2 linked regions of the Mus musculus genome follow. The protein of the gene in region 1 binds, or shares a complex with, the protein of each later gene. Links are inferred from orthologs where the notes say so. Each region holds a gene or a part of one and is shown on either strand. Other genes may lie near its edges.

Region 1 (3,805 bases):
TGGGTAAGGAGACAGGGGCCACTGCACTGCAAAGATAGTTACCATTGAGGGAATCCAGCAGAAACGAACAAACGGACCAGGGAAGTACCTTGATCACTGTCACAGAGCATATCTAGCCAAGCTAGACCTTTCTCTGATCTGGCAGTAGTGACCTCAGTCCCCTCTTCAGCAAAAACACTGCCGTCTGTGACATCACATGTCAACTCCTCAGCCCTTACCTCAGCAGCTGGAGGTCACACTTCTGCAGACATGAATGAGTGGTTCAGAGCCTTGCCCCAGGACACACAGCCAGCCATGTGGTCTCCCAACGGGCTCCTTGATACCGTCCTTCACAGTGTCCCTGCCCTCTGACGTGGCTTCATTTCTCTCCATCTGAGAATCCTCAGCATTCCTGGAGTCCATGGCTGTCACATGCTCAGCTCCGCACAGAGCCTAAGGATGGATCTGTCCTCTCACCCAGTGGTGCTGGCTTTGAGAGGACAAAGCATGCCTGACTCCCCACTGGGGCTGGACCTGCCTTCTTCCTCTGCTTTCCCTGGCCCTCTTGTTCCATTCTTTCTGGGTCTTTATAACATTGGCTGGATGCTGGTCTTCCTTGGTTATCACAGCAGCCCCTCTGCAGCCCTCTTTTCTGTTCTGTCAGTGGGCCAGGGATACAGAGCTAATAATGGCTTGGTGTTGCTTTCAGGTGGTGGTCCCTGGGGAGGTGCTGGCTACCCTCCTCCCAGCATGCCCCCTATCGGGCTGGATAACGTAGCCAACTATGCGGGGCAGTTCAACCAGGACTACCTCTCAGGCATGGTAAGTCAGGCCCCTGCCAAGGTATCCCTGGGCCAGGGCTATAGGGATCAAGGCTGCTTACCCCAAGTTCTCAGGGAGACCTCATGCCTGTTTCTGTGAGCATAGAATGCTGAGCAGCAACTTAGAATATGAGGTCATCTACTTAACACCCACCCTACTCTGGCTCCCCCCTCCCCCCATCTATATTAGAGGAAGAGATTCTTGGCACTGAAGGTCTCTCAGGTCCGAGGAGATTGGGTTAGGCTGGTGCCTGCAGGAAGTTTATTGGGAATTTCTCATGAGCTGAGCACGAAGCCTGCAGGGAGGTGAGCATATGTGTGGAGAGCTGCGGGGGCGAGCACGTACAAGGCTGTTCTGGTTGGGTCTTGGTGCCGTGAAGCAGGTAGGTTAGAATGTACATGCTTTTATTTGTTGTTTTGCTTTTTAAAGGATGTTATTTTATAATCGGAAACCAAATGTGTGTTTAGGGGAAACACTGCTACTAGAAGGTACCCAAATTTATGCCAAGGCCCAGTTCTAGGTGCTGGGAATATGTGAGTGCAGCAAACAAAACCCCTGGGCTAGAGAGATAGCCAGGTCTAAGGTGCTTATTCCATACCAGCATTAGGCCGAGTGCAGTTCCCAGGACCCATGTGTACAAAGGCAGGCGTTGTCCTTGTAATCCCAGTGCTAGGGAGGCAGAGACTGGCAGATCCATTGGACTGGCTGACTAGCCAGTCTAGCCTACATGGTGATTCCATGACCAGTGATAAATACTGTGCCAAAAAAGGAGGACTTCTGTCTCCACATGCATCTGCGCACACACAAATCTCAGTCCAGGCACACTTAGCATCTGTGTCAAGGAGACAGGACATGATGTAAGTTAGCAGGTGACAATACTGATCAGTGGCAGGCACTTCTGGGCATCACAGCAAATGCTTAACATTTGGTAGGTGAATCTGTGAAGATGAAGACTTCAAACTCAGCCTGGGCAACATAGAGAGGCCCGGTCTTCGAGGGAAGGGCAGAGGTGGTTGAGGGAGGGAGAGAAGAGCAAGAAGCTAGGAAAGTAGATACACGGCCCTGATAGCATAGGCCTCTAACCTTAGCTTCTTGGAAAACTGAAGCAGGAGGATCCCAAGTTCATGACCTGTTTGGGCTACAAAGTGAGTTCAAGGCCTCCCTGGACAACTTAGACATTGTCTCAAAATAAAAAGGAGAAAAGAAAAAGAAAAGGAAAAGGAAAAGAAAAAGAAGCAGAAAGAGAATGGGGATGTACTGTTAGTAGTAGAGTGCTTACCTAGAATATGTGAGGCCATAAACTCAAGCCCCAGCCCAGGGCGGGAGGGATGGACAGGACAGTAATAATACAGGAGAGGTTCAGAGGTGCTGGTGGGGACTGGAAAGGGACCCTGAGCCAGGTGGTAGTGGTGCACACCTTTAATCCCAGCACTTGGGAGTTCAGGGGCAGCCTGGTCTACAGAGCAGGTTCCAGAACAGCCAGGGCTACACAGAGAAACCCTGTCTCGAAAAGTTGTTGTTGTTGTTGTTGTGGAGGAGGAGGAGGAGGAGGAGGAGGAGGAGGAGGAGGAGGAGGAGGAGACCTCAAACAAAGATCTGACATGGTAGAGAAATGTACTATGCAAATTTCTAGGGATGGCCAGTCCTTAAGGTGCCGTGGACCTGATGACCTTGGGGACAGTGAGCAGGCCTTGGTCATTAAAGAGGGGACGTGAGGGATAGGTAGGGTGAGGGATGAAGATATTGGGACCCATTTCTCAGTGGCATAAGAGGCTGAGGTGAGGATTCAGGCTTTTGTTCTGGGCATGTGCCGGGCCTCACCTACCTCACCTTGACTGACTGTTAGCAGACTGGTGTGACAGGGCCACCTCATGCCTGCAGAAGGAACCCCTGTACTTTCTGGGTCTTTGAGTGGTTAGCTCTACCTAGTTAGTGGCTCTTGGTTGGAAGAAGTAGCTTCCTCTTTCAGGTTCCCATGCTTCTTGCAGAAGGGACAGATTAGAAGTTCTGGTTCACATGCAGAGTCCATGTCAGAGCCCAGCTGCCCTGCATACACTGAGCCAGTGTACCATCATCAGTGGCCAGATTGTCCTTCTTGTCCCATAGTGGGGTGGCAGCAAGCCTGAGCCTAGCATTGTGTGCTGAGCCTAGCATTGTGATGCCTGCATCTATTGCTAGGTATACATAGTGCTGGGGGAGTGGTGGGGGGCGGTTCTGTAGGAGGCTCCCTGCCTAGAGCCATTGCAGAACTCTATAAGGGAAGGGTAAACAGACAAGGTGCTGTCTTTCTGGGCCTATGTTTCTCAGGCTCTGTTTTGTGTACTTGGCAGGCAGCCAACATGTCTGGAACATTTGGAGGAGCCAACGTGCCAAATCTGTATCCTGGGGCTCCTGGGGGTGGCTATCCTCCAGTCCCTCCTGGTGGCTTTGGGCAGCCCCCTCCTGCCCAGCAGCCTGTCCCTCCTTATGGAATGTATCCGCCCCCAGGAGGAAACCCACCTCCTGGGATGCCTTCATATCCAGCCTACCCAGGGGCCCCTGTGCCAGGCCAGCCTATGCCACCCACTGGGCAGCAGCCCCCAGGGGCCTATCCTGGGCAGCCTCCAATGACCTATCCTGGGCAGTCACCAATGCCACCCCCTGGGCAGCAGCCAGTGCCAAGTTACCCAGGATACTCGGGATCTAGTACCATCACCCCTGCTGTGCCACCAGCCCAGGTAAGTGCTTGTCCAAACTGCGTTCAAGCACAGATCTCTGGTCTAGCCAACAAGTTCTTAGAGGATTGAAGGGAAGGCTCAGGCCTCCAGCTACAACATACAAAAGAGCTCTAATTTCTCTTGTGTGCCCACCGAAGGCAAACACACAAGGTCTGGAAGCACAGCCCTGGTGGTTGCTCTTCCGTGAGATTACTCCAGAGGCTTCCAGCATCATGGCCTCATGCCCAGTAGGCCCCTTCTGTGACTTCCTAGACAAATGTGAAGGAGTCTCAGAATCCTCTCTGGAT
Region 2 (4,550 bases), on another chromosome or scaffold:
AAAATAAATAAAAAATGCAAGCTGGGCGTGGTGGCGCACGCCTTTAATCCCAGCACTCGGGAGGCAGAGACAGGCGGATTTCTGAGTTTGAAGCCAGCCTGGTCTACAAAGTGAGTTCCACGACAGCCAGGGCTACACAGAGAAACCTTTTCTCGAAAAACCAAAAAAAAAAAAAAAAAAAAAAAAAAAAATCAAAAAAAAAAAATGCAATCATCCTTTTAAACTACTGTTAAAGTTCTTGACTTTTCCAGGCATGGTAGCACAGGTCTGTAATCCCGGACAGTCAGGAGGCCAGGCCCAGGCTCTGCTGTATGAAACCTTGTCTTAGGAGACAAACAAAAAACCATTTTGGTGACTCACACCTGTAATCCCAACACTGAAGGCGCAGATTCAGGAAAGGCATAGCAAATCTGAGGCCAGCCTGGTCTACACAGTAAGTTCTAAGCCAGCCAAAGACTACGCAGAAATCCTGTTTTGTTTGTTTGTTTGTTAAGTTCAAAACCAAAAAGTAAATAATGCTGGGTGGAAGGACTCATGCCTATAATCCCAGCACTCAGATGGTTGAGGCAGGAGGACAGGCCAGGAGTTCCTGGCCAGCCTGGGCTCTAATGGAAGTTAGGGGCTAGACATTAACATCTGTTCTTCCAATGCCATCTTCTTACAAGGTAGCTGTGAGGAGGAAATGAATTCATTTATAAACTTAAAGTGGGAAGGCTTGGCCTGATGGTGATCTGCAATCCTACCCCATTCCTCCCAGAAGGGAGGCAGAGGCAGGAGGAACCCAGCAAGCTCAAGGCCAGCCTGTTCTGTACAGCAAGACCCAGTTTCAGTAAATAAAGCAACTGTGTAAAACCTTTGTGCCTAAGCTTTGAATCTGATACACCAAGAAATTCCAACCCTGAGTAAAGAGTCTACATCTGCTGCTTGGTGGTAGAGCTAGCCTTCAGCCTTTTTAAAGTTATACTAGGACTCGTCAACTGGAACCGAAATACTGAAACATCCAAGTAGTTTTTTGCTGTAGGATTCAGACCCTAGTGGGGCCTCTTTCTCATGGTGACTTCATGCAAGGTACTCAACTCTGTGCCTCAGTTTCTTCACTTATTGAAAGAGGAGAGAGTATCACGACTATCGTGTAGACTGCTAGGGCAGCATCCACACTTGGCAGCCTTGATGAGTTAAAGGACAGCCTGGGCTACACAGTGACTTTGAGATCCCTGTCTCTAAAACAGTATCTGATGGCTAAGCCCAAGGTCAATGGGAAGACACTTGCCTGCCATTCACAAGATTCTGGTTTGTTTTTCTCCCCCTAGAGCCAGAGAGTGCTAAAAGGTACTTGATACAAAATAGTACTTAGAACAGGGACCATTTTGCAGATCAAAGTTAATGTTTCCACGTTGGAAATTAACGAGCAAAGGCAGAAGACATTTAAGAGTCGCCTTTAGACTAGGAACCCAGGGTTCCCAGGGATTCCCCCCCAAGCCCTTACGCGTTCAGTCGCAGGCTCCGCCCCCTTTCCCTCCTAGCCCCGCCCCTGCCGCCCCAGTCCCGGCCTGCGCTAGTCTCGCGCATTCTCGGCGCGCGCGAGCTCCTCGACTAGGGCCGGCCGTTGGTCAGGCGAAGCCATCTACCGCGTTACGTAGGGGGACTCGGAAGGCCGAGTGGCCGTTCTGTCCTTCATCTGTCAGTTTTTCAGACCCAGCTGTTTTCATTGTTGCGTTTCTTTACTTTTTTCTATACGCCGAAGAGCCTGCTAGCATCCGAGCCTCTGGGAGGAGAGAGCGCCTGTGGCTTCCCTCGGAGAGCGCCCCTCCTGCAGGGAAGCCAGTGGGAGAGGCCGAAGGCGGGCGAGGGCGGGAGGCGGCCCTAGCGCCATTTTGTGGGCACGGAGCGGTAGCGCGGCTGTTGTCGGATTCCTTCCCGTCTGTGCTTCCTCCTTGTGCTTCCTAGCAGTGGCCTAGCGGGTAGGTTGGTCGCCAAGGCCGGCCTGCGTGCCTCGAGTGTTGCTTCGGAGAGGCCCGGTGCGGCCTGCGCCGCGGGGAGGGAGCGGTAGAGCGGGGCCTGGTTGGCCTCGCGCAGCCGCGTCGTTAAGGCCTAAGCGCGGGCAGTAGCCGGAGCGGGACGCCGGGCCTCTGCTTGGCTGTGAAGCCACGGGCGGAAGTGTGTGGCCGCCCCGGGTTTCCAGGCGTCCTAGTCCCTGTAGATTGTCGCTTTTGAGAATAACTGTTGTCACCATGGGACTTGGACCTCCGCGGGCCCCACCCTGGGCCCAGTTGAAAGGGGGGGAAAATCATCAACGTTGTCTGTCGCGCACGGCCTTCTGGGAAGCGGCGGCCTACCTCCCGGAGTAGCCGTCGTTGCTCCCTCGACGCCTAACTTTAGCCAGACCTTTCCGAGGATGAGCACCAGAACTGCTAGATAACTGTTCTGATGTCGGTGTTCGTGCTCCACCAGCACAGGGAGGGTTCCTCAGATCCCAATGCTTGGCTGGTTTTTTCCACGTTAAAGCACGTGCTAAACCCGATTCAGGTCCAGGCTATAGAAGAAACTTAATTCAGAATGGTTACGAAATACGGTAGCCTGTAATCTGTGCGCTCCAGGTAAGAAATGACGAGTGCAAGAAAAAAAATCGGGGCAGATACTTAGTTCTTTAACACCTTGTTTTTGTCTGGCTTTGTAGCCAACGGGCCACATGGTAACACTGTTGCCATTTTAGCACCGGAAGCTTATAGTGTGCGCTGAGAAAATAGAACTGGCGGGCAGAGCGCCACATGAACACCGGTTTTCCCTGTGGCTGCCCCGGAACTCAGTAGACTAGGCCAGCCTCGAACTCAAAAAGATCTGCCTGCCTCAAGAGTGCTGAGATTAAAGGCGTGGGTTATCGTGCTCGACAAAAATCACATTTTTTTTTAAAGATTTATTTTATTAATATATGTAAGTACACTGTAGCTGTCTTCAGACACTCCAGAAGAGGGAGTCAGATCTTGTTGCGGATGGTTGTGAGCCACCATGTGGTTGCTGGGATTTGAACTCTGGACCTTCTGAAGAGCAGTCGGGTGCTCTTACCCACTGAGCCATCTCAACAGCCCCCAAAATCACATTTTTATTTTAGAAAATACCTTTTCTCTATTTTTTTTTCAGGGATGGCAAAAGAAACATTTTAGGTAGCAGGAATCTTTTCAGGAAGTGGGAATAAAGTGGTGTGATAATAGCCAATTATGAAAAGATAACTCCTCTGATTTTCTTGCTCATTTCTTTTTCCTTTAAGAGATTTAAGCAAAGATGTCTGAATATATTCGGGTAACAGAAGATGAGAACGATGAACCCATTGAAATACCATCAGAAGACGATGGGACGGTGTTGCTGTCCACAGTTACAGCCCAGTTTCCAGGGGCATGCGGCCTGCGCTACCGGAATCCCGTGTCTCAGTGTATGAGAGGAGTCCGACTGGTGGAAGGAATTCTGCATGCCCCAGATGCTGGCTGGGGCAATCTGGTATATGTTGTCAACTATCCCAAAGGTTTGTTAATCATTTTGGTTTTGCTGTATTGCTGGCCATGGTTAGACTTCCGTGCCATCTTAATTTAAGTGAGACTATAATATCCAGGGCTTCATGTGTGCTGGGAGAATAGTCTATTGTTGAGCTCCAACTTGAGGGTTTGGTCGTTATGGAGGAATGTTTCCTATGACCCTAACTTTTTCATAAACTTTGTTTAGACTTAGACTACTCTGGCAGGTCAGCAGTTTAAGTAAATGGAAATTGAAAAGCAGGATTCTTTTTTTGAGGAGCATGAATTTAAATGTGAAGCTGGCAGAACATGGTCATTGCTAATTTTAGGTGGTGAAACCTAAATGCCTTAAAGATGCATCTGTTTTGTAAAAGAATTTGGCTTTTTGAAACGGGGTTTTTCAGTCTTTTGGGTTGTTTTGTTTTTGGTTTTGTTTTGTTTTTTCTCTCTTCCCCTTCCCGAGACAGGGTTTCTCTGTATAGCCCTGACTGTCCTGGAACTCACCCTGTAGATCAGGCTGGCCTCGAACTCAGAAATCCACCTGCCTCTGCCTCCCAAGTGCTAGGTTTGAAGGTGTGCACCACCACTGCCCAGCTTTTCCTTGCAGCCTCAAAAATCATCTTTGTCTCATCGTTTTTTGGATTTTCGAGACAGGGTTTCTCTGTGTGTCGTCCTGGCGTATCATCCTTTTAAGATTTGTGTTTTATTAAAGATTTATATCTTATGTGTTATTAATGTTTTGTATGTGTGTCTCTACACTGTGTGTGCACCTGGTGCAAAAGGGCATTCAACCTTCTGAAACTAAAACTGTATGGTTGTGAGCTGCTGCGTGGGTGCTGACACCCAAACCCTGATCTCAGAAGACCGAAAACACGACAGATGCTTTTAACGCCAGTGTTCTTACTCCATCTCTTCTTTTTCCCTCCTCAAAAAATACCAACTGCGCTAGCCCAAGTCTTGAGTTAGGGCAGAGCTACCTGAGATTTTTCTCCCTCTCTTACTATGGACGTTCTTGAAAGTTTGAGAAAGCTGGGTCTGTGGTGC

Evidence for each region.
Region 2: the proteins of Anxa11 (region 1) and Tardbp are in contact, whole or in part, in a cryo-EM structure (PDB 9FOR), measured with the Homo sapiens proteins. The link is inferred for Mus musculus from reciprocal best matches to the Homo sapiens genes ANXA11 and TARDBP. Residues at the interface, in NP_001148.1 of Homo sapiens: Gly56, Met57, Ala59, Met61, Ser62, Gly63, Phe65, Asn69, Pro71, Asn72, Leu73; in NP_031401.1 of Homo sapiens: Ala328, Leu330, Ser332, Trp334, Gly335, Met337, Gly338, Met339, Ala341, Ser342, Gln343.

What each region holds. Positions count from the first base shown.
Region 1 is NC_000080.6:25,869,381-25,873,185, forward strand, and holds part of Anxa11 (annexin A11), read left to right. Parts: intron 1-688; coding exon 689-801; intron 802-3,131; coding exon 3,132-3,518; intron 3,519-3,805. UniProt on the Homo sapiens protein: Binds specifically to calcyclin in a calcium-dependent manner. Required for midbody formation and completion of the terminal phase of cytokinesis.
Region 2 is NC_000070.6:148,624,092-148,628,641, reverse strand, and holds the start of Tardbp (TAR DNA-binding protein 43), read left to right. Parts: upstream 1-1,645; 5' UTR 1,646-1,961; intron 1,962-3,265; 5' UTR 3,266-3,279; coding exon 3,280-3,517; intron 3,518-4,550. UniProt on the Homo sapiens protein: RNA-binding protein that is involved in various steps of RNA biogenesis and processing.